Linked DNA regions of Arabidopsis thaliana. The main gene of each other region encodes a partner of the protein of the gene in region 2 in a complex. Each region holds a gene or a part of one and is shown on either strand. Other genes may lie near its edges.

Region 1 (8,609 bases), on a different chromosome or scaffold from region 2:
TAAAACCGATGGATGCTCTGCTTTTGGTAAAACCTTCAAGCCCAAGTTTCCTCGTCCCACTATTCTGCTTCTTGATCGTGGAGGTAAAAAAGTTAAAAACATCTTTAAAAGTTAAAACCTCTGTTTTGTCCATTTACTGTTGTTTTGTTTGAGTTCAAAGATTTAAACTTTAGTCTGCTATGTTATTAGCCAATAGGACTTTATGGGTTATGCTGCAAAAATACATTTTGAGCAGAAAGATATATTTTTTTTACAAAGAAAGATTAAAAGTTTAATCTCTCAAGTAATCTTTGCTCCATTATTGGATGTTTTTAGGTTGCTACTTTGCCTTAAAAGCGTGGCACGCGCAGCAAGCAGGCGCGGCTGCAGTTCTTGTGGCGGATAATGTAGACGAGCCATTGTTGACAATGGATTCACCAGAGGAGAGCAAAGATGCGGATGGTTTCATAGAGAAGCTAACAATCCCATCGGTGTTAATCGATAAATCATTTGGAGATGACTTAAGACAAGGGTTTCAGAAAGGGAAAAACATAGTTATAAAACTAGATTGGAGAGAGTCTGTGCCTCATCCTGATAAGAGAGTAGAATATGAGCTGTGGACTAATAGCAATGATGAGTGTGGTGCACGGTGTGATGAACAGATGGACTTTGTCAAGAACTTTAAAGGTCATGCTCAGATACTCGAAAAAGGCGGTTATACCGCGTTTACGCCGCATTATATTACTTGGTTTTGCCCTTTTCAGTTTATAAACAGTCCACATTGTAAGTCTCAGTGTATAAACCATGGGAGGTATTGTGCTCCTGACCCTGAGGATAATTTCAGAGAAGGGTATGAAGGGAAAGATGTTGTGCTTGAGAATCTGAGACAGCTTTGTGTGCATAGAGTTGCGAATGAGAGTAGCAGGCCTTGGGTTTGGTGGGATTATGTTACCGATTTTCATTCTCGATGTTCGATGAAGGAGAAGAAATACAGCATAGATTGTGCTGAGAGTGTCATCAAATCTCTGAGTAAGAATCTTTTTTCTTTTCCTTTTTAGATTTTAAAGAAAGAGAGTCTTCTTTGTTTAGGTTATGAATCTTTAAGACTTTTTTCAGATTTACCTATTGAGAAGATCAAGAAATGCATTGGTGATCCTGAGGCTGATACAGAGAACCAAGTTCTGAGAACTGAGCAAGTATCTCAGGTTAGTTTCTTAATCTATCTTTATTTAGAGTTTTGAAGAAACATTTCAGAGGTTTGGTTACTAACTGTAACTATTTCAAGATTGGCCGAGGAAACCGGGGAGATGTTACGATATTGCCAACATTAGTCATCAATAACGCTCAATATCGAGGTTTGGTACTTGATATTTTTTCAGTTTCACTCTCTCTTTATGAAGATGCTGAAGTTTCTGTTGTTATTGGTTGCAATTGTGAAGGGAGATTGGAGAGAACCGCGGTTTTAAAGGCGATATGCGCTGGTTTTAATGAAACATCGGAGCCTGCCATTTGCTTAAACACAGGTCTAGAGACAAATGAGTGCCTTGAAAACAATGGTGGTTGCTGGCAGGATACAAAAGCAAACATCACTGCTTGTCAAGTATGTCGTAAAACCGAGCTTACCACATCACATCTCACCACTATATTGAATATCAGTATCAATTTGTTTGGAATTGTTTTGAAAACTAGAGAAAATGTGAAAATCTAGAGAGATATTTTCTAGTCCTATAATACTTGAATCTTTTTTGTTTGATCAGGACACATTCAGAGGAAGACTCTGCGAGTGTCCGGTTGTAAAAGGTGTTCAATATAAAGGAGACGGGTACACTTCATGTACACGTAAGTTGTTCACACATTTCACACAACATAGCTCTCAAATGTTGAGACCGGTTTCTTGAATAGTCTCTGGTTTGTGATTGAGCTTTGCAGCTTATGGGCCTGCGAGGTGTACTATGAACAATGGAGGTTGCTGGTCTGACACAAGGAACGGCTTAACTTTCTCTGCTTGCTCAGTTTAGTGATTCTCTTGTCATAAGCCAAACCCTCCCTTACAAAGTTCTTGTTTTCAGTTCAATCATCTCTTTGTTATTTATGAAAAATTAGGACTCTGTATCTACTGGCTGCAAATGTCCTGAAGGTTTCCAAGGCGACGGTTTGACGTGTGAAGGTACATAACTCTTAACTTATCGATTAAAATCTCGAAAGAAACCACATAATCATATTACCAACAATGTAATTATGTTTTCTGATTTGGCTCTATTGCAGATATTAACGAATGTAAAGAGCGTTCGGTATGTCAATGTAGCGGTTGCAGATGCAAGAACTCATGGGGTGGATACAAATGCAGCTGTTCTGGTGACCGGCTTTACATAAACGATCAAGATACTTGTATAGGTAAAATTTTATCAATCAAGATTTAAGAGTACTCAAATTCCATAACAGTATCTAATTAATATACATTGATGATTGTTTGTTACAGAGAGATATGGATCCAAAACGGCATGGTGGCTCACATTCTTGATACTGGCTATCGTTGCAGTAGCCGGTTTAGCTGGTTATATATTCTACAAATACCGGTTCAGGGTACTACTACTCTTTCTGATTCCACAAAAGCATTTTTGTACTTAATAACGGTTTTAGGATTACCAAACTAACTTTTCTTTGGTGTTCCTATTAACAGTCTTACATGGACTCAGAGATTATGACGATCATGTCACAGTATATGCCACTTGAGAGCCAAAGAGCTCGTGAAGTTCCATCAGAAGCCGAGCCTTTTACACTCTAATAGTATATGACCAAAGTAACCAAAACTGTCATACACAAAGAAATGTTTGAGATCAATTAATGTACATATGAATTATACTGTAAAAATAAAAGAGTGAGATAGAGTTGTGTATATTTTCATGGCAAAAAAATAAATAATTTGGATGTAAAGAGACTTTTGAAGAAAATAAAACAAATATTGCTTTCATTGAGAGTTGAACTCAAGACCTCCCGCTTACTAAACGGGTGCTCTAACCAACTGAGCTATGAAAGCTTCTTGCAACATATTATTCCAAATAAATTATATCGTAAACTAAGAGTTAAAATCTTGAAAACAAAGGATAACGATCTTCGTCTCCCTCTGCTAAACCCATTTTCTTCTGTTGAGGAATGGCTTCTTCAGTCTCTCTTCAGTTCCTGACCAACACCTTTATCTCCAAACCTCAGGTTCTTAATCTTATCTCTCTGTATCACCTAATGTTTCTATGTCATGTGTGTGTGTGTGTGTCTGTCTTTGTCTGAATTTTCTGAGTACTCCTCATGTTTTTTCCGGTCGGACAAAGGGTTTCTGCAACGGAATTGTGTCAGCACCAAGACCCAGAAGCAATTTATTAAGAGACAGACAAAATGGTGTACGACCCATCAAAGTTGCGTCTATTGAGACACAACCTTTCCCTCTGTTTCAATCTCCTGCTTCCGAAGAATCTTCCTCGTCCGAGGTTAGGATTTTCAGTTTTGAGTGTTTTAGGGTTTATAGAGTTCTAAAAGGCAGTACCTTTGACAATTCTTTGCATTGCCCCTATCTGGGAGATTGATTTAGAGTACAAATGAGTTCTAAAGGTAGTACCTTTAGACAATTCTGTTCATTGCCCCCATATGTGATATTGATTTAGGGTACATATGAGTTCTTAAGGCAGTAACTTTAGACAATTCTGTGCATTGCCTCCATCTGTGAGATTGATATAGGGGACTTCTTAAGGCAGAAACTTTAGACAATCTTGTGCATTGCCCTCATCTGTGAGATTGATGTAGGGTACAAATGAGTTCTAACGGCAGTAACTTTAGACAATTCTGTGCATTTCCCTCATATGTGAGATTGATTTAGGGTTTTTGTCTTTTGTTTCTTCACTAGCTGGAGACAGCAGATCCGGATTTCTACAAAATTGGCTATGTTCGAAGTGTGAGAGCTTATGGAGTTGAGTTTAAAGAAGGTCCAGATGGTTTTGGTGTCTATGCTTCTAAGGATATCGAACCTCGCCGTCGAGCTAGAGTCAGTCTTCTTAGTTAAAAAGTTGACAACTTTTTGTTTTGTTCTTCTCTTTAGATTATTTTGTTTTCTTTTCTCTCTGCAGGTGATTATGGAGATTCCTCTTGAACTGATGATAACCATTAGACAGAAGCACCCTTGGATGTTTTTCCCTGATATTGTACCAATTGGTCATCCTATTTTCGATATCATTAACTCGACTGATCCTGAGGTAGTAACACATTTGTGCTATTTCGATATCATCAACTCGAAAGTTCTTATCTTTCTCAAAGTCCTTTCACATTTGTGCTTACAGATTGATTGGGATATCAGATTAGCGTGTCTTCTGTTATTCTCTTTTGATCGAGATGATCACTTCTGGCGGCTCTATGGCGATTTCCTGCCGGCTGCTGATGAGTGCAGCAGCTTGCTTTTAGCTACAGAGGTGGATTGAATTGATATGATTGCCATTTGAAACTGGTCACATTTACTTGTGTCTTTAAACTAATGCTTGATGATATCTAATTCTGTGTGTTTTTCTATAGGAAGACCTTGCGGAGCTTCAAGATCCTGATCTTGTTTCAACTATCAGACAACAACAGAAACGAATCCTAGATTTTTGGGAAAAGAATTGGGTAATGAGGCCTTATATATGTGTTTCCAGTATATCTTGACATTTGGTTATTGCTTTGTTTTTCATTGGCAAATTGTATTCCGTCTCAGCATTCAGGTGTTCCTCTCAAAATCAAAAGGCTTGCCGAGGATCCAGAAAGATTCATATGGGCGGTTAGTATGGCACAGACACGATGCATCAGTATGCAAACTAGGGTCGGTGCTTTGGTTCAGGAATTAAATATGATGATTCCTTATGCTGGTAAGGAAGAGCATGTTGTGTAGTTATTGATAAATTAAGATTTAGTATCAATGAACTTTTTGTTGAGGAACTAAATAAGAATCTCACGATTGATCATTCTCTGCAGACATGCTAAACCACTCATTTGAACCAAACTGTTTCCTACATTGGCGTCCTAAAGATCGCATGCTGGAGGTTATGTCAAATGCTGGTCAAGACATTAAGAAAGGCGAAGAGGTAAGAGACTCAAATGTTCCTAAGTGTCAGCCTCACTTCACTGCTTTATCTATCTTCTTATAATGCTTTTCACAGATGACGATTAATTACATGCCAGGCCAGAAAAACAACATGCTTATGGAAAGATACGGCTTCTCAACTCCTGTGGTAATGCTTTTTACGACAATCACATTCATCTTACACAAACTATGTTTCCTTTGCAAGTTTTCTCGTTTATTCAGTTTTTCTGGTCTGCTGCAGAATCCGTGGGATGCTATAAAGTTCTCTGGAGATTCTCGCATCCATTTAAATTCCTTTTTATCGGTCTTCAATATTTATGGTCTTCCTGAAGAATATTACCATGACAGTAAGTTCCTTTTCTTCTGTTTCCTCTCTATTCCTTGACAAAAGATGGAGAAATGAGCACCAATGTTACCTAAATCTGTGGCAGGCGAGTTATCGAGGGGCGATACTTTTGTTGATGGAGCAGTTATCGCTGCAGCAAGAACATTACCTACTTGGTCAGACATAGATCTTCCTCCAATACCGAGTGCGGAAAGAAAAGCAGTTAAAGAATTGCAAGATGAATGTCGAAAGATGCTTGCGGAATATCCCACAACAGCAGAGCAAGACCAGAAGTTGCTAGGTATTACACTAAAGATATATACACCAATGTGTTATTATCTATTATCGCTCATATACTAAAACTTAAGCTTTCCCTCTTGTTGTTGTGACAGATTCAATGTCAGAAGCAAGGACAACATTTGCAACAGCGGTTAAGTATAGAATGCACAGAAAGATGTTCATCGGAAAAATTATCAAGGCACTTGACATCTATCAAGAACGGTTACTCTATTGATTCAAGCAAAAAATAATTATGAGCTGAGTGAGATTCATACTTGGTGCTCACTCCCTTGAGCTACTTAGAAACTGCACCATGTAATTGAAAGGTTCCTGTTTTTTTTTTTGTTTAGTGTAAGGTTATGTATTTGTATGGAACAGTTAGACTAAGTGTGTTAGTTTGTTTTAATCGCAATCACAAACAAATCATAACCTCTTCTTTTCTTGGCTGCTTTAATGAGTTTGATTAGCCAACAAACGCTTTGGAATCATCTGTGTTTTTTTTTTCTCTTTTGATTAATTCATGTTCATGTTTTTAGTCCCTAAGCATGATTAGTGTCTCAAATGTTTTAGGGTAATTGTGTCTCTTACGCCGAACTATAATGTTGATTAGTCTCAATAATTGATTATTACTTATACTATTTATTAACCTTGTGGTTACACTAATCAATCAAATCATATTGCGTTTCTTCTACTCTTTGTCTAACATTACTATTTTCAAAAAAAGTTACGGTCCAAACCAAACAAACCTACTCTGAGTTATACAGAACCATAAGCAATCTATTTCTTACCTTTGGCTACTTATTTGATACTTTACATTGACTAACTTGATTCTTAATAATTATCTTCAATATGTTGAATATTTTATTTTTGAAGTAAGACCACTATGCGTTTCATAATTCTTGCCATGCATAATGAAATTATTCCTTTGAATTTAAGATTAATTAAAGTATAAATCAACCAAACAATAGACAAAAAAAAATAAAAAAAAATAAGCATCTTGATCTTTTTGGTGGATCGAAGATAATTCCTTTGTCTCATTCTTTTGGATTTAGAATCTCGTTCAGTAGAATATTAACATTTTTAATTATAGATTATCAATTATCGAACAAGTTGTTGTACGTAAACTTGATTCGATCTAGCGTTATTACAGTCAACCAAAATTTATATAATAATAACAATTTATGAAAATGACAATATTATTCGATGTATTATTCCTTTTTTCCTATAATTAGATAGGTGTGATTAAATTCAAGCTAGATTCCGAATCGACAACAACATATTATATCTATTATTAACCTCAATTTTTGAAGGCAAAAAACACACGAAATTATTCAAAACTCACGAGTTGATTCTTTACTTCGATGAACATATAAATTGGGAAAGTATCACCGAACTTATTTGGGTAATAAAGAAAAAGATGGATGAAAAAATTATGTTTGCAAATTTTAATAAGAATTATGTTTGACTTGGTAATAAAATATAGGGCATAATCATATGATGCCATGTTAATGTACGATCATACCACAACTGCTCTCCTTGTCGTGAAAAGGTTGAAGTGATGAGAAGCTAACACACTTTGTGACATAACCAAAGCCAAAAATATATACTTCAACCAAGTCATTTTCTCAACCACTCTTTTCTCCTTGTCCAAGGTCAAAGCCATGCATCACCATTTTATTTTCTATTATTCATTATTGTTACTTTTCCTTTATATAACTAATAAAAGGTCTATTACTAATAAACAACTAAACTTTTCTTTTCTTTTTGATAAAATTAAACAACTAAACTTGTCGAAAAGAAATAGGAGAACAAAGAACTCTAACTTCTCACGAAATTGATAAATCAAATGATTGCGTATCACAAAGACACTAAAAAGAAAAATTAAGGAATCGTGTAGAGTTGACACTCTATACATTCAGAGTAGTAATCATGTGTTTGATAGATAATAAATAGATAATGGAAGTATGAAATGAGAAAACTTGTTGGGATCATTTATCATTTGTGGAATCCTCTAAATCTTTTCTAACTTAACTCCAAGTCGTTAGAGTCCAAGAGATATGAATCGATCGGAACTTCAATACAGAATTTAATTAGAATATAGTGGAACAACATCCACGAATCTAAATGTCATAAGTTGTTAATTGATCAAACGAAATAGAATGTACTTATTATAAGCTTATAATTTTACAAGTTTGATGTGAATGTAAAGTGTACTACTCCACTATTTATTTATATATTCTGTGGTTTCTAAAGAAGACCAAATGTTTTTTTTTTTTTCTTTCCTAAGAAGACCAAATGTTATGTCAAAGTTTAGGCACTGTTTTAATTATATAACATGTCTCCACGGACGAATAAATGTACACACGAACATCATAGTACGACCGTTGACCTTTGCCCCTCCATTGATTGATAAAAGGCTAAAAGCCGAAACATTTTCATTCTACGAGCCTTCCCATTCCATTTCCCCACATCTCTCCTCTGACCTCTCTTTGACCCCTCTCTCCTCTCTCTCTAGATCTCTCAATAAAACAGTGAAATAGCAAAAAAGAAACACAAAAAAGAGAGAGAGAAAGAAACTTTGTTCTCTCTGCATTTACTCTTCTCCAACTCAGAGATAGAGTCCCTATGCACCGTTTCTAATGACCAATCATCTTTCTCCCTCTTCATCATTCTCTACAACAAGAATCACACAAATGCCATAAAACCTCCATTCTTCTTCCTCAGTAAACCAAACCATAAGACGACGAAGAAGAAAACATGCAACCACTAGTTCTTCTCCTCCTCTTCATCCTCTGTTTTTCCGGTTTAGGTCAACCGGGTATCATCAACAACGATCTTCAGACTCTTCTCGAGGTGAAGAAATCTTTGGTCACGAATCCACAAGAAGACGATCCTCTCCGACAATGGAACTCTGATAACATCAACTAC
Region 2 (8,198 bases):
CAATTTTGTTGGACATTGCTTCAGTTGTAGAAGAAAAAACTGTCAAACCCCAACTTTAAATTTTCTCACTTTTTGTCACTGAACTTGTTGAGTTGGTCATTGTTTTTTTAACTTTGATTTATTGCTGTAACTTCTTTTCTTTTCCGACTGCTGAAAGAGTAAGATTGTCCTTTCCTAGGAGGAGCTTGACCCATTTTCGCTTGTTGCCGATGAGCTGTCACTTCTTAGTAATAAGTTGAGAGAGATGGTACTTGCCGAGGTGAGTGGCCTTTTTTCATTCATTAGTACTCATTGTGTGCACAATGGTGTGGTGAAAGCAAATTTGCTACTGATGTTCTGAAGCTAATCTCTATTTTTTTTCTATATTCTGCTGTTTAGGTTCCAAAGCTTGCCTCTGCTGCTGAGTACTTCTTCAAAAGGGGTGTGCAAGGAAAACAGTTTCGTTCAACTGTAATGACCATAATCTCTTTATGTCACCATATCTTGTTTTCATGTTCTGGTTCATTCTCTCTTGGTATCATAACCAGTCTGGTATCATGTTTGTAGATTTTGCTGCTGATGGCGACAGCTCTGAATGTACGAGTTCCAGAAGCATTGATTGGGGAATCAACAGATATAGTCACATCAGAATTACGCGTAAGGCAACGGGGTATTGCTGAAATCACTGAAATGATACACGTGAGTAACTATAGTTTTACTCATAACATTCATTAAAGATCAAGATCCAGTATCCTCCCTTTTAAAATTAGTAATGCTCGGGTCATTGTAGGTCGCAAGTCTACTGCACGATGATGTCTTGGATGATGCCGATACAAGGCGTGGTGTTGGTTCCTTAAATGTTGTAATGGGTAACAAGGTACTCACTTGACAGTAGAAGCTAAGACATGATTAAATATGCTTTTTGGCGATTGTGCTGCAATTTGGATATGAAGATCACCATTGGCTTCATGTTGTAGATGTCGGTATTAGCAGGAGACTTCTTGCTCTCCCGGGCTTGTGGGGCTCTCGCTGCTTTAAAGAACACAGAGGTAAAAGAAACTAATAAACGTGACCCTGGTATTTTAAACTTTTCGAAGAAATCTTTACTTTTTATAAGATACTGTGGTTGACAGGCTATATTGAATCTCCCGTGATATACAATCTAGAATCAATGACATCTGTCTTCAGAATTAATTATCACTTCTTCGAAGCCATACATCTTCATTGTGTCTCTTTTTTTGTAGGTTGTAGCATTACTTGCAACTGCTGTAGAACATCTTGTTACCGGTGAAACCATGGAGATAACTAGTTCAACCGAGCAGCGTTATAGGTATAATCTTCTTTTCTGGTCGATAAAAACAAGACTACTCAAGTCTTCTATGCTACTAATGTATGTTTGAGAATCAAAACAAGAGTCGATTTTATCATCAAAAACCCGATCGCGGCTTATATAGGAACTGGAATTCATATAATAGTGATCGGTAATGCAAATATGATTTTTTTCATGATTGCAGTATGGACTACTACATGCAGAAGACATATTATAAGACAGCATCGCTAATCTCTAACAGCTGCAAAGCTGTTGCCGTTCTCACTGGACAAACAGCAGAAGTTGCCGTGTTAGCTTTTGAGTATGGGAGGAATCTGGTTCGTTGTCTTCTTCTGAAAACTTTGGCTCCATTGCAACTAATTTTCTTACAGTACTTTGATGAACTTCTAATTTTTCAGGGTTTAGCATTCCAATTAATAGACGACATTCTTGATTTCACGGGCACATCTGCCTCTCTCGGAAAGGGATCGTTGTCAGATATTCGCCATGGAGTCATAACAGCCCCAATCCTCTTTGCCATGGAAGAGTTTCCTCAACTACGCGAAGTTGTTGATCAAGTTGAAAAAGATCCTAGGAATGTTGACATTGTAAGTTTGAAAGAAACAAATCTCCTAAAATCTATAATATGTTTTCATAGTCTCTAATACTATTATATCACACAGGCTTTAGAGTATCTTGGGAAGAGCAAGGGAATACAGAGGGCAAGAGAATTAGCCATGGAACATGCGAATCTAGCAGCAGCTGCAATCGGGTCTCTACCTGAAACAGACAATGAAGATGTCAAAAGATCGAGGCGGGCACTTATTGACTTGACCCATAGAGTCATCACCAGAAACAAGTGAGATTAAGTAATGTTTCTCTCTATACACCAAAACATTCCTCATTTCATTTGTAGGATTTTGTTGGTCCAATTCGTTTCACGAAACAATAATGTTTGACAAGCTGTGGCTTTGGTTTTAAACTACACATGACAAAAAAAGGAGACAGATACTAATTGTGAAATCATATTCCTTGCGAATTCGGTTTAGGTCTTGTTTTAACAGATTAAACCGTCTCAAGCTGAACTAAACAGGATGCAGTACAGTTAACAAATCACTTTCAAAACTCTATAAATTCAATCAAAAATATTTGAATTCCATATGATACAAATCACTTGCAAAACTCAAATCCACTCCTAAATGATATCATCCCTTCCAAGTATACAAGCAAAACCAGTGAAGAAAAAGTTGCCCTAAATAACGTCTTTACATAAGAAATACGAAAACCAGGTTTAAGGATCAGTCTCCTCTTCAAAGTCCATGAGAAAATCAGTTAAGTTCTCAGCATCATCCACGGCCTCGTCTAGAGACATCCGACCTTCCTTCTTTGGTTTAGGCTGTTTAAGAAACCAAGCTCATAACATCAACACACCACACAAGACATATAATGTGGCTCAAGTTGAATGTGACTTTACCTTGGCGGTGCGAAGCTCAGGGGTTTCCTTCAAGACACTCCAGTTCCTCGGCACTTTCTCGTCGTCTTTTTCTACATCTGCATCGTCTTCGTCGTCCTGTCAAAAAATGTCCGGAGATGTTTCAGAGCATGATACATCAAGAAACAATAAAGAAGAAGAGGATCTGATGTAATCGATGATACTCACATCGTTTTCACCAATATCAACAGCTTGTGCCATTGCATCATCCATGTCAGGTACCTGCATTCATACAATTTATCGAACATATCAAGCGAAACCCTGAAATCTCACAATCAGAGTTGTGTCAAAGGAAATGAAAGATTGGTCACTTTACCTCGAGCTGCTCGGTTTTCTCTTTTGTCAGTAGTGCTTCATGCATCTCTCTTGAGATGACTTTGCCATTCTGATCAAATCAGAAACAAAGAAAACAATCAGACCAAGAAAGAAAAAGAATAGAACTTTGAGCAAAGCAGACTAACCTCCTTTAGATAAGAGAGCATATTTGGTGTAGGCTCATGAAAATCAGGTCCTCTGAAATCCATAACCGCATTAGGATCTTGAATGTAGTTAATTGTCGGGTAAACTGGATCCCCGCCCCAAACTGCAAGAAACCGAGAATGTTAGTCGAACGATTGAATATCCATGATGAGTTAGTTCAAACTTCAACGGTCAAAGTTTCTTACTTTGCTTAATTTGATCCTCCCTCATCCGCATTGCCAATGGATCTCTCTTGATCCTAATATCAGTTCCCATCATTATCCGGTATTCTCTATCTGTTTGATGAGAGAACATCTCAATCAGTTGTGTGTTTTCATCTTCACCTGTCTCTTCAAAATGTTTTTGTACAGCTTCTCTTGACGTGTCTCTCTTCCATGCTTTAACCCATTCAGAATAAAAAGCCATTGGACCTTCTTTCGCTAATCTCTCTCGCTCAGCTTGCAGCCTGAGAGAAAGAAAACTCGAAAGAAAATCCTAATAAAACAGATTTTCACTTGAAAGTTCGTTAGATCAATATACCTCTCTTCCTTGAAAAGATGCCTTCTTGCTCTATAAAGAGAAGTTTCTGTGAGTGTTGGTTCTTCCCCATAGAGCTTCACTTGTCCTGTTTCTGCCATTGCCTTGAGGAAAACCTGCATCAACAACAAAAAAAAATACCATAATGGATCAAACATTGGGGAAACACACACATGTTTAAACCTGAAATCATTGTGATGACTAACCGTTTCAACATCAGGACGTCTTCTTTGCCATCTTGACCATTGTTCTTTCTCCGGTTTCCTCCAGTTCCACCACGATTCATCGCTCGTGAGTGTCTTTTCAATTTGTTTCTTTTTCGTAGGATCAATGAAAGGATGTGGCCTTCCAAGCTTTTTGTCTAATTCAAAACCAGTCTCCTCTTCTTCTCTCTCAAATTCATTCTTATAGGTAACAAACCCATCCGAGGAATCATTTTCCTCTTCTTCAGAGCTATCCTCAGAATCGGATACTTCGTCATTCGTTTCAACAGTCACATTCTCCTCAGTAGCTTTCCTATTCTTCTTTCTCCTACTTCCAGGATTCTTTCCATAGGAAGGAAAACTCGAAGACTCACCAGCTGGTTGAGGAGCTCTAGCAGCTCTAACCCGGCTCGAAGTTCCTTCAGGCCAATAATCCTCACCTGGAATACTAGCCCGAGCCCCGGACGCTGGCTCAAGCTTCCCAGAAGTTGAATCCATATAACTATGGTAAGGATGCCTCTCAACAGTCACATACTCAAATCCTTCTTCACTCTTCTTAGACCCTTCACTTACATCACCATCTCCATCCTCTTTCTTGCATTTGATACAATGTCGCAAAGACCGATCCCTAGAAGTAATCCCAGCATGCAATGTCTTGAGTGGAAACCCACATTTAACCCGTCTCTACATACATAAACAAACTTTTACCAGTTTGACATCTTGAAACAAGCTAAAATGTTCACTATCTCTAAATTAGATAAGTTTGGATCAGAACAAGAAACTTGATGTGTAAGAACCAACCTGCACAATACAATTACTGGACTTTCCACTGTCTGTGCATACTTGACCTCGGTAGAGCCAGGTGGTGGTTGATATTGACGCCATTTACACTCTTTCTACTTCTCACTGTATCATTTACAAAAACAACCGATTCAATTATGCTCAGAATCAGTTTCAAACTAGTACAAAACATAAAACCCAGATAAGAAGAACCTGATACAACAAATTGTCCATAACAAGGTACGATTTTTTTGGGCATTTTTACAAACGCTTCACACTCGAAGTTGAGGAGAAAAAGACTAACCTTTTTGTTTTACCAGGAGATTATGTAGGAAGAGGGTTTTCTATCATGGAGCTTGATTTTGAAGGGGGTTTTGGCTTCAAAAGGTTTTCACTTGTCAGTTTTTGGGTTTATCCATTTATCTCCTCCTGCGTTTATTAACATATTCTGGTGACGGCAAAATCTCTAGATTTCACGACGCGCCGGTATTAGAACGGGAATTTGTGAAGAGAAAGTATATGGGCTTGGTATATCTAACTAAGGCCCAGTATTAATGGATCTTTGAGAAATTGTGAGCTTGAAGTCTCTCTTGGGCTTTAACAAACACTTCCAAGAAGAACAAAACATCTTTTTCTTTTTTGGCAAAACATCTTCTAAACAGTTTATTATATTGATATACTTTCAAATAAAATCAATATGTGATTTGATCATTTAAAACATGCCTTAACACAAAAGATATATGGAAGAATGTTTATCGAAGTATGCATGTGAACACATCTTAGTTTTGTTAATAGATTTGCAATTTACAATTGCGATTATACAATTTTTAGATAGTTCTCTCCGTAATGGATTAATATAGTGGACTAGAGGAACATGTTACACAAAAAACATCAATCATTGTACCTTTAAGTGAATAAATACTTGTATATGATTTGTACTTCAGCGTGTGTACGTACTTGTCTAAGACACTATAGAAGGAAGAAGGTTTGGACCCAACGTGAATGGCAATTGGCTAATGTGCTAATATGGTCTGAACCAATATTAAATGGGTCTGACCAGACACATCATAGACATTACGGTATCTATCACAGGCCTATTTTAACCTAATATCCTACACTTTTTATACATTAATACTACTATTGCTTACTTCAAACTTGCTAAACGACGATAATATTTATTTCTAGGGACCAAACATATAATTGTTTTTTTGGTTTTCTGAAATTTGGCAGACGTAGACCACGTAAGACTATACCACAAAGGTCTGACTAGGCACAAGTTTCGCTGACCCGCACGCGCCTAACGTCACCTTTTGAACTATTCGTGCAACGAGCGAGACTATCCATGCGGCGTCGTTTTTTCCCAACTTCCTCTTCCTCTCGTATTGTCAAACGGTCAAACCTATACTCCTACATAAGAAAAAAAGAATCAGCAGCATATAATAGCAACATTTGAAACTTCATAAGCATATATAAAGCTAGAGATGCAAACTAAAGACAAACAATATAGCAGTTTCGAATTATATAATAGATACAATAAATAAAAAAATAAAAAAAGAATAACAACCTTTTATCAAAAATAATACTGTAATAATAATAATTTGGATACTATTACTATCTTTTCGAGTTTGCTATTTTACATAAAACAATATGTCAGGGAAAAGAATCTCAAAGCACTAAAAAAAACTGTAATTTGATGCTTTTGGTGACCGTTAATAAATGAGTGGCTAATTGGAAATCTCGTCAAACTTTTTCTGCGACATAATTCACTTCCACAAGTAATTGGAACAGAATCTCACAAGTGGCGACGTGTACTTACCTCCACATGGCACCTATCCGTTCGCTAAAAATATACTCCATGTATAGATGTGTGTAATATTACATGTGTATAAAAGCGACGACGAGGATAATCACCTCGATGAGTATTTGAGTAGATGTGGACTTGTCATGAACATTTTAGCAGAGAGACAATGCATGCATACAAACAGAGAACTAACAAATTTCTTTAGTTTTTTACCATTCGTAACTTAAAAAGTTTATTCTTTATTTACTTGTAATACACTTTTGTTAAATGTTACATAGAATAATCTCCGATTTATACATTATTTGATCAGTGATCATAGTTACTAGTATCTATTAGTTTATGGTATGTTTTGCCACTGTTGTTCAACAATGTTGCAATTCTTACAAAATTCTTGAATCAACATTCTTTTTAACAATCAACTATCGGTTAAAAATATGAACTAATAGTATATGAGCTGCTGGTATGTTTTTCTACCAAAAATCAGATATTTTTCTTTGTTTATTGCATTATGATTAATCTAAACACTAACTAAAATTAGTAGTATTATTACTGATGAAATAAAACAAAGGAGTGGTGGGGCAGAGGGAGGACAAGAACGGGACAGTGGCATAAATCAGACTGGTGAAGCTGTCCCTTGTGTTGTTGGGTACATCCCATGTGTTGTCACACTTCTCTTCTTTCTATTATAGTATTAATCAAGATCTAACAAATCATGTTATTTTATGTGTTTTCAATTATTAATCACAATTATTCTATACTCCATTCATTTCAATTGTTCACCGTCACAAGCTTGGTCCGATGATACAAAAAATTGTTATTTAATGTACATATATATAGATATACCCGATCACCTACTATGTTCCCTTGTTTTTGTGTGGTAATGAGACAAATATCAAGTTTAAAGCTAGACCAGAGATAGATATCAACAAGCATTTGTGTGAAAGGATATTTTTCATTAATTTAGTAACGTGTGGGCAGTTTTCTATATACAATTCCGTGCTAGTCACTGAACAAGTGTAGCTAACAATGTTCTAAGTTGCTCTACCAACCTCGAGCAACTATGTGTACTCTTGCTTATAACACGTCATTACAAGCTATTCAATCGAAATGTCTTGAGGGTGATGAAACTGACGAAATTCGACTGAATAGAGAATGAAAATATCTTGAGGAAGAGCTTCGGTCATAATAGCATCATGTTAGTTGACATTACAAACATAAATAGCTACCTTGAGAAAACTCTTCTTCATATCATCACGTACGCTGTGAGTGACAATTGATATTTGTGTTTAGTAAGTGTATGAGAAACAAAATTTGTATGTGTGGCATGTTATCGCAGAAAAACTCGGTGATGTGAATCTTTAATCTTGTGAAAAAGTAGAAACGATTGCAGTTATATCAAGTTACAAGTAACATTAGCCATACGTATGCGTCTATATCAATGTTGGTTCGAGTCACTTCGTTTTGCTCCTCAGCTTTCCATGAAATAAAAGAATTCCCAAAATAATTACATAAACTATAAACGGTTCTCTTGGACTTTTGATAATTTGTCTACTTTGTACAACGTTTAGCATCTTGGCCAAAAAATACATAAATAACGTTAACTATTGCGTTGTGAATTAATGGATATTTTTTGAAATT
Region 3 (6,700 bases), on a different chromosome or scaffold from region 2:
AAAATATAAAAAGAATAACAAACAGTTTATTAAGTTAAAATTTAGATTATAACTAAATAATTCATTTTTTAATTATATTTGTTTTAATAATATAATGATATTTTGATTTATAAATATATATATATATAATTTCACCCGTGGTATACTGTCTCGTATTATTATCGATCCAAAGTCGTCATATCATCTAATCTCGTTCAGTGAAATTAAACATATCTAATAGATTTCACACGTGCTATACTGTCTCGTATTACCTATCGACCAAAACTCGTCATACCATCTCGTATTTTTGTTTTAATAATACTTTACTTTAAAAGATATATAATTCAAATCAATTTAAAAGTTTTATTTCAAATGGTTATTTAATTGTTTTAAAGTTCATATATTATAAATATTCTAAACCCATCTTATAATCTAATCTCAACCGTTAAAATTAAATATTATTTTTTTATTTTTTGTTCGAATAATAGTTTTATTAAAAGATTTATAATCACATCAATTTAAAAGTTTTATTTCAAATGATTATTTAATTTTTATAGATTTCATATATTATAAATATTATAAAACATTTTTCCTAAATATTTTAAATGTTTAATTAAATATAATATTTATCTTTTAATCAAGTATATATTAATTATGTCCTAAGATTTCTCATTTTTTAAGTAATTGAAATTGATGGAAATATAATAGATAAGGAAATGCTACAAATTAGGAATATTAATTAATTGATAATAATTGATAGCAATGGCATCTTTTGTAAATAAGTTTAAACTTGAGGATTTATTTGCTAAAATGGCTGCAAAAATGTATATATAGATAACAGTGTATTAATTAGGGGTAAAACAATAAAAAAATTTTTTTTCTTAATTTGTGTGAAATGAACTAAAAGGATAAGTAATATAAAACAGAGGGAAACGCGTTTTAAATTCCTTTTAATTTGGTCTCAATAGTTACAAAATATGTTTACTTGGCGTGAAAAGATTGCACCAAACCGTTTTATATCACTTATATAACAACATTCATCAGGTAGTTATGTTTGCCTTTTTTGAGTTTTAATTAAAATCGGATGAAAAAAGAAAAGTTACAAGATAACGTTTTAAAATGTTAGTCTCAATAGTTACAAGATTTAACATTAATTCTTTTTAATTTGGTCTCAGTACTTAATATTAATGGCTAGATGCCAAATGTCATTTGAACGGAATTTAATCAAAAGTTAAATAATAAAGACGAAGAAACAAATCTCATATTGTCTAAAATAAAATTTCTTAAAAATTTTTTTAAACAGAATCTATAACTTTTTATTATTATTTTAATCTTTCTAGATTTAGCTATTGAATACCCCTTCCTAAATTAAAACATATGGATTCTCTCAAGAGAGGAAACAATAATGGTATAACTTAATTATGGAGAATTCACATATTCGTTTTTGCTTTGACTATATTGATTGTCCATATTTTAGTTGATTACGGATTCATCTAGTCAATGTGATGCGTTATCTTCATAATTACGATTGACTACTATATATCTCTGTCTTCGTATATATGTGTATCTCAACTTATACTATAAAAATCAATTCACATATCACCAAAACAAAACAAAAATGAGAGAATCTGACTTAAGGATGAAGCTAGTGATACTAGTATCTTTCTTGCTCGTTCTCCCAATGTTTTCTTCAGGTATATAGATCTGATCAACTAACATATGCAAACTTATAGTAGCTTTAACATTTTATATAGGTCAATATAGAACTCCGAATTGAATAAATATGCTTCATATTTTTGTTAGGGATCGTTGAGACTTTGCATCATGACAACATCAACCGCAAGGTATTAACAATCACGGTTCTAAAAGCGTTATATATTTGATTACAAATATGCATCAAAACTAAAAACAAAAAGATATAAAACTTGTTGATTTAAAAAGGTTAAAGAGATGGTCATGAATGGAAGAAGAATCGATCTGGAGATGGACTACGCTGGGCCGCATCTAAGACCTCCCAAGCCATCCGACCCTACAATTCCAGGAACACAAGTACGTGCCCTATAGCAAAAATGAAGTATTACGAAAAGTGTCTTCCTTTTTTAATAGTGTATGAGTTTGGTTTTGAAAGGTTGATGAGGTTGTGACAAAGGAACCAACTGTCTATAACAAAGAAGACTATGGGGACTGGTCTCCAAGACCAATCCCAAAACGACCAATGCCATATGTACCTCCTCCTCCTCCTCCACCGACACGACGACCTCCTTTCACCACAAATCACTAGACCGTTACTTTTACTAAACTCTTGTCATTAGACTTTCGTCTTCATCTAGTAAATCTAAATAAATAAAATGAAATTTGGCCAAGAAAACAACAAAGCTGTGAATGCATTGATTTGGTTTTGGTAATACAAGAACAAAAGCTGTAAAGTACATTGACACTTTTTGTTATAATATATCAAGTGTAGTACTCCAACAAATAGCCAGGACCGGGTTTGTAAGGATCAGCTTCTACATAAGCCTCAGGGCGATCAAAGCCGAGATCGTTCACACGGTTGCTTAGAACATGAAAGATGGCTTTTTTGGAACCTCCATATTCGTCTCTGTTCTTGTCCACGTACTCTGTTGCTTCAGCTGCTACGCTATTGACAAATTCAAACCGATTGTCTTCCCTCAAAAGAAGCTGCTCTATGTCCATTGTCATTACCTTCCCAACTTCTCTTATCTTCCTTACTTGTTCTTCCACAAATGGAACTCTTTGCATTTTGTAACGCAACATATCGTCCTTCTTCGTCTACAGACAAAACAGGAGAACGACATAGAGAGATTAAAAGCGGGACAAATATAAACAAAGATTTTGCATTGTTCTGGCTTTGGTAATTATTGAAATCTCAAAACCTCATGAACCTGATAGGATCAAACAACAGAAACTGATAGTTTGTAGAATATAGTACAAGTAAAAAGATCACACTAATATTTTATGTAATGTGTAACTCCCACCTAAAAATCCCAGTATCTCAGATAAGACAATCTCCAATTTCTTGCATGTGCCATAGAGATAAGACCATGGTTACTTGAATATATATAAGTAAACACTAACTAGAGGTAAAAAGCCATGTTTCTTTAAGTTCATCAACAGTATAAGAACTAAAGCTAGCGTCTGAAATGAGCATAGTTCAACAAAGACACTTTTGAAACAGGTGTGTAAGCTAATTTGGAATCAAGAAGGGTAAACTAGAAATCGCAAAAACTCAGAGAAGACAATCTCCATCTCTCCTTCTATGCATCATATCAATTACTATGACTAAGTAAAGACTAACTAGAGTTAATAGTCATGCCTCATCAGTGAGTTAAAGCTAATCTGTGATCCTACTAAAAATTGCAACTTTTTAGAAATGTCGTCTCCAAGCAAAGAAAAACCCTTATTTTGATTCCTGATTCGACTTATGTCATAAACATGAAACTGGAAAATCACCAAAATATCAAGTTTAGTACTTACCAATGTTCTCCTCCGCCAAACACGGCGTCCATTATCATCTCTCTGAATCCCACAAGAAACCTGAAAAAATCAACCAGATTCACTCAAAACTCTCCCCCAAAAACCCACAAATTCGTATATATATCAACCATTCAAAACCTGAGACTGAAATGTGCATCGCAAATTCCCACTTCTCGTATCAATAATCTGAATATACAATAATTGAAAATGAGAAATCACATTGACATCAAAGGATGATTATGAGAGAAGCAAAGGAGGGATTTTTACAGGTAAAATCGAAGATGGAGAAGAACAGGTGAAGGAAGCCATTGATACACAGTGAATAGATAGAACCGGATCCTATTTTATATGTAAGCTTCTCCGGTTCGGTTTAATGGTTTATCTTTGGTTGTGTTCGTATTTGGACAAATCATTCCTAACCGAACCGGGCATTTTTTTTTCTCGTCATTTTATCTATACAATAATAATTCAACTTGCACAAAAAAAAAATCTAAAACAAATCAAAACTAACAACAAATCTAAAATCATATAATTTTACTTGGTACACAAAAATAATATTTTTCAGAAATCAATCAATCTAATAATAGTTAGTGGGAACCCTCTATTGTGACTTTGTGAGCTATGTATATACATAAGACATTACAAGATGGAACCTCAACATAGTTGATAAGCAAAGAAATTAACTCTATCGATCACCGGATGAGAAAATGGCTTCTAGGAATCATCTCTTAATATGTTGTGTTCTCTTAGCTATGATCATGATCGGGCATGCTCAAACCAACCGGAAACTTCTTGACGATAATGTACCATCATCTTATTTTCCATCGATGGAGTCTCGTCAGGTTTTTCTTCCTTCTTCTCATCGTTCACTTGTTGCTGAGCATTACGACAGATCACCACCTCCACCACCACCCAAAAGATCAGAAGTTGAACCCCAAACTGATGGTGTCTAGACCATTGAGTGATGGTGAGAATCGGCCCTGATGAAAAGACTCGTGAGTTGGTACCATGTTTTGAAAGAGCATACATATGTTTTGATGTTTGGTTTTATGATCCGGTTTATAAGAGCTACCTAATTTTTGAAGGCTTGGTTTGATTTAGTTTTCTTTGCTTTCTAAAGTAAAATCTCCGGAAAAGTTGTCTCTGTTTTTTTCTTCTTTATTTTTATCTGTATACGTGTACTTCATTCTTGGTGACAATAAATTTGACTTGTTTCAAATTAATTAATGTAATATTTGTAAATGGTAAGTTAATACAACAGAAAAGTCGATGATACTATCTTTTTGAATAGGTAGATTTACCGAACGAATACCACATTACCACGGCTTAAAAAAAAAAAAAGAAAAAAGGGAGGATTAGTCTCAAACATTCTTAATCAATTTCAAAAACTGGATAAATAAAAGCAAAAGTTTCAAAAACATAATTATTCTTGCAACAGTAATTGATGCAAAATATATATTAAACTGTCAAATAATATTTCGAGAACGAAATTGTATATATAAACTTGCTGTTAATTTGGTTAAAATCGGCAGTAAAATAATTCACAGCAAGTTTTACTACGCTTGTAAACAAAACTGCATTCACACTCTGACAGTCATAAGGTATACACAAAATCATAGAATCATGGACATATTTTGTAACACATATATTGACAATTTGACATTACGTAAATGCAATTAAAACTGGAATGTAATTTCCGGTTTACCAGTCAACATACAAAACCAGCTTTCGGTTTAATATTCGTCCAAATAAGTGTAGAGCGTATCGTCCTTCTTTGTTTTGCGTCGGCTAAGTAGCGCCTTTAGCAGCCGTTTGCTCTTGCTCGGTTGTTGTTGATGCTCTGGTTCTTTCTGAGCTTCTTTCTCGAACGCAACCCGAACCGAAGCCGATCTTCTTGGTTCTGACGGATACTGAGCCAGAAAATATCAAGAATCAACCGTTAGAGATAGAGCCTAGAAGTGAGTGTTTTTGAAATGTAACCGAAGCTTACCCGTTTAGGAGTTGGAGTTACCGCTCTACTCTTGCTCGGGGTTGTTGGCCGGCTGATTGATGACGGTCGGATAGCAACCGAACCAGATCTTAGCAGCGGAAACCGATGTGGTGATACTGCTCGCTTATCTATTTTACCATGCACACTGTTTAAAGGTTCTGTTTACATATTAAGCCAAAAACGGCAATTTCAAGGTGAAGCTGTCTTTTACCTTGTTCTTTCTTTGGTGCGGTGGCGATAGAGGAGAACGAAAAGGTTGCTGAACGTTGAGGTTTCCGTTGAGAGGGAGACTGAAGTATCGGTTTTCTGCAAAAAGCGATAAAAGTTTAGTACTTCTCGGTCATTTGACAAGGGAACTCACTATGAGTACTGGACTATACCTAACAGGTGGTGGAGGCGTTTCACGAATTGTAGCGCGAACAGCTTTAAGAATTCACAACAAGAAACATATCAAATCAAGAATCAAGGCAATTTCTAAGTAAATGAAATGGCAATTTATACCATTTCTGAATTGGTTCCAGTCATCTTCTCCATCAAAACTACCTTCAACATTCTTAAGCTTTGCGAGGTTGCCACCTCTTTTGATTTCACCAGCTGATAGAGAATTTCGTTTTTGTTAGCTGAGTCCCAAAACCGACAAATAAGAGAACGAAAGTTTGTAGAAACATATAGGGAACTTTGGAGAGTCGAAACTTACAAGGCAAGAAGTACCGCTTGTGGAACTTTGGAGTGTCGATCACAAGTGATTGCTGGGAACGACCTTCATGATCCATGTACTCTTGGCACATCCGTAGCCTCTATACACATATAAGAAAGTTCAGTAATACAAACAAGAATCATTCTCAAAAATGCCAACTGAATAAAACTAAAGCAGAAATATCTGTCCATTTGAAGAATAATGGATACCTGTTCAATGCAAGATACTCGCAGTTCGGTTCCTGCTACTTCATCGACTTTTTCATCTACAAAGTCATTTACTTTATATGTAACAGACCCCAAATGGTCAACTGTATTCACCAGAGCCTTTATTGCATAATCTTTCAGTGTCTCCACGACTCTACATACACAAGTAAAAACTTACAAAACTCCAAGAAAAGAGAACAATCACAATTAGGGAGAGGAATAAACTCACTCACATCTGTTTTTGTTCATCGTTTGTGTAGGATAGTTCGAAATACTCAGCTGCTGAATACAACTGTGTTCTCAGATTCTTCAGATCCTGTATAACAAAGATGT

The links.
Region 1: PTAC12 (region 2) and PTAC14 share a complex: the UniProt entries of both Arabidopsis thaliana proteins name them as parts of the transcriptionally active chromosome (TAC) complex.
Region 3: PTAC12 (region 2) and PTAC7 share a complex: the UniProt entries of both Arabidopsis thaliana proteins name them as parts of the transcriptionally active chromosome (TAC) complex.

The regions. Positions count from the first base shown.
Region 1 is NC_003075.7:10,875,782-10,884,390, forward strand, and holds PTAC14 (plastid transcriptionally active 14), read left to right. Parts: upstream 1-3,035; 5' UTR 3,036-3,132; coding exon 3,133-3,189; intron 3,190-3,244; exon of another isoform or gene 3,245-3,305; coding exon 3,306-3,461; intron 3,462-3,874; coding exon 3,875-4,012; intron 4,013-4,059; exon of another isoform or gene 4,060-4,094; coding exon 4,095-4,220; intron 4,221-4,304; coding exon 4,305-4,433; intron 4,434-4,533; coding exon 4,534-4,623; intron 4,624-4,711; coding exon 4,712-4,862; intron 4,863-4,968; coding exon 4,969-5,078; intron 5,079-5,153; coding exon 5,154-5,225; intron 5,226-5,318; coding exon 5,319-5,424; intron 5,425-5,508; coding exon 5,509-5,703; intron 5,704-5,794; coding exon 5,795-5,916; 3' UTR 5,917-6,271; downstream 6,272-8,609. Other genes in the region: VSR7 (VACUOLAR SORTING RECEPTOR 7), read left to right, coding at 1-83, 316-990, 1,069-1,184, 1,265-1,334, 1,419-1,579, 1,737-1,818, 1,909-1,991, 2,083-2,146 and 3 more; GSO1 (Leucine-rich repeat transmembrane protein kinase), read left to right, coding at 8,439-8,609. UniProt on the Arabidopsis thaliana protein: Essential for chloroplast development, especially for thylakoid formation. Involved in plastid gene expression, probably by maintaining plastid-encoded RNA polymerase (PEP) activity.
Region 2 is NC_003071.7:14,579,482-14,587,679, forward strand, and holds PTAC12 (plastid transcriptionally active 12), read right to left. Parts: upstream 5,317-8,198; 5' UTR 5,064-5,316; intron 4,886-5,063; 5' UTR 4,865-4,885; coding exon 4,781-4,864; intron 4,664-4,780; coding exon 3,983-4,663; intron 3,893-3,982; coding exon 3,780-3,892; intron 3,706-3,779; coding exon 3,446-3,705; intron 3,364-3,445; coding exon 3,242-3,363; intron 3,166-3,241; coding exon 3,097-3,165; intron 3,003-3,096; coding exon 2,949-3,002; intron 2,859-2,948; coding exon 2,763-2,858; intron 2,685-2,762; coding exon 2,580-2,684; 3' UTR 2,354-2,579; downstream 1-2,353. Other genes in the region: GPS1 (geranyl diphosphate synthase 1), read left to right, coding at 179-259, 379-450, 547-678, 770-856, 957-1,028, 1,224-1,309, 1,494-1,626, 1,708-1,896 and 1 more. UniProt on the Arabidopsis thaliana protein: Involved in plastid gene expression. Acidic transcriptional coactivator necessary for the transactivation of many PIFs target genes (class B genes), particularly during the regulation of hypocotyl growth.
Region 3 is NC_003076.8:8,274,833-8,281,532, reverse strand, and holds PTAC7 (plastid transcriptionally active7), read right to left. Parts: upstream 3,834-6,700; 5' UTR 3,784-3,833; coding exon 3,742-3,783; intron 3,661-3,741; coding exon 3,613-3,660; intron 3,535-3,612; coding exon 3,451-3,534; intron 2,770-3,450; coding exon 2,434-2,769; 3' UTR 2,339-2,433; downstream 1-2,338. Other genes in the region: AT5G24316 (proline-rich family protein), read left to right, coding at 1,598-1,673, 1,783-1,823, 1,921-2,028, 2,108-2,260; AT5G24313 (uncharacterized protein), read left to right, coding at 4,182-4,427; ABIL3 (ABL interactor-like protein 3), read right to left, coding at 5,208-5,384, 5,465-5,592, 5,676-5,770, 5,845-5,887, 5,966-6,058, 6,162-6,261, 6,371-6,521, 6,601-6,683. UniProt on the Arabidopsis thaliana protein: Essential for chloroplast development, especially for thylakoid formation. Involved in plastid gene expression, probably by maintaining plastid-encoded RNA polymerase (PEP) activity.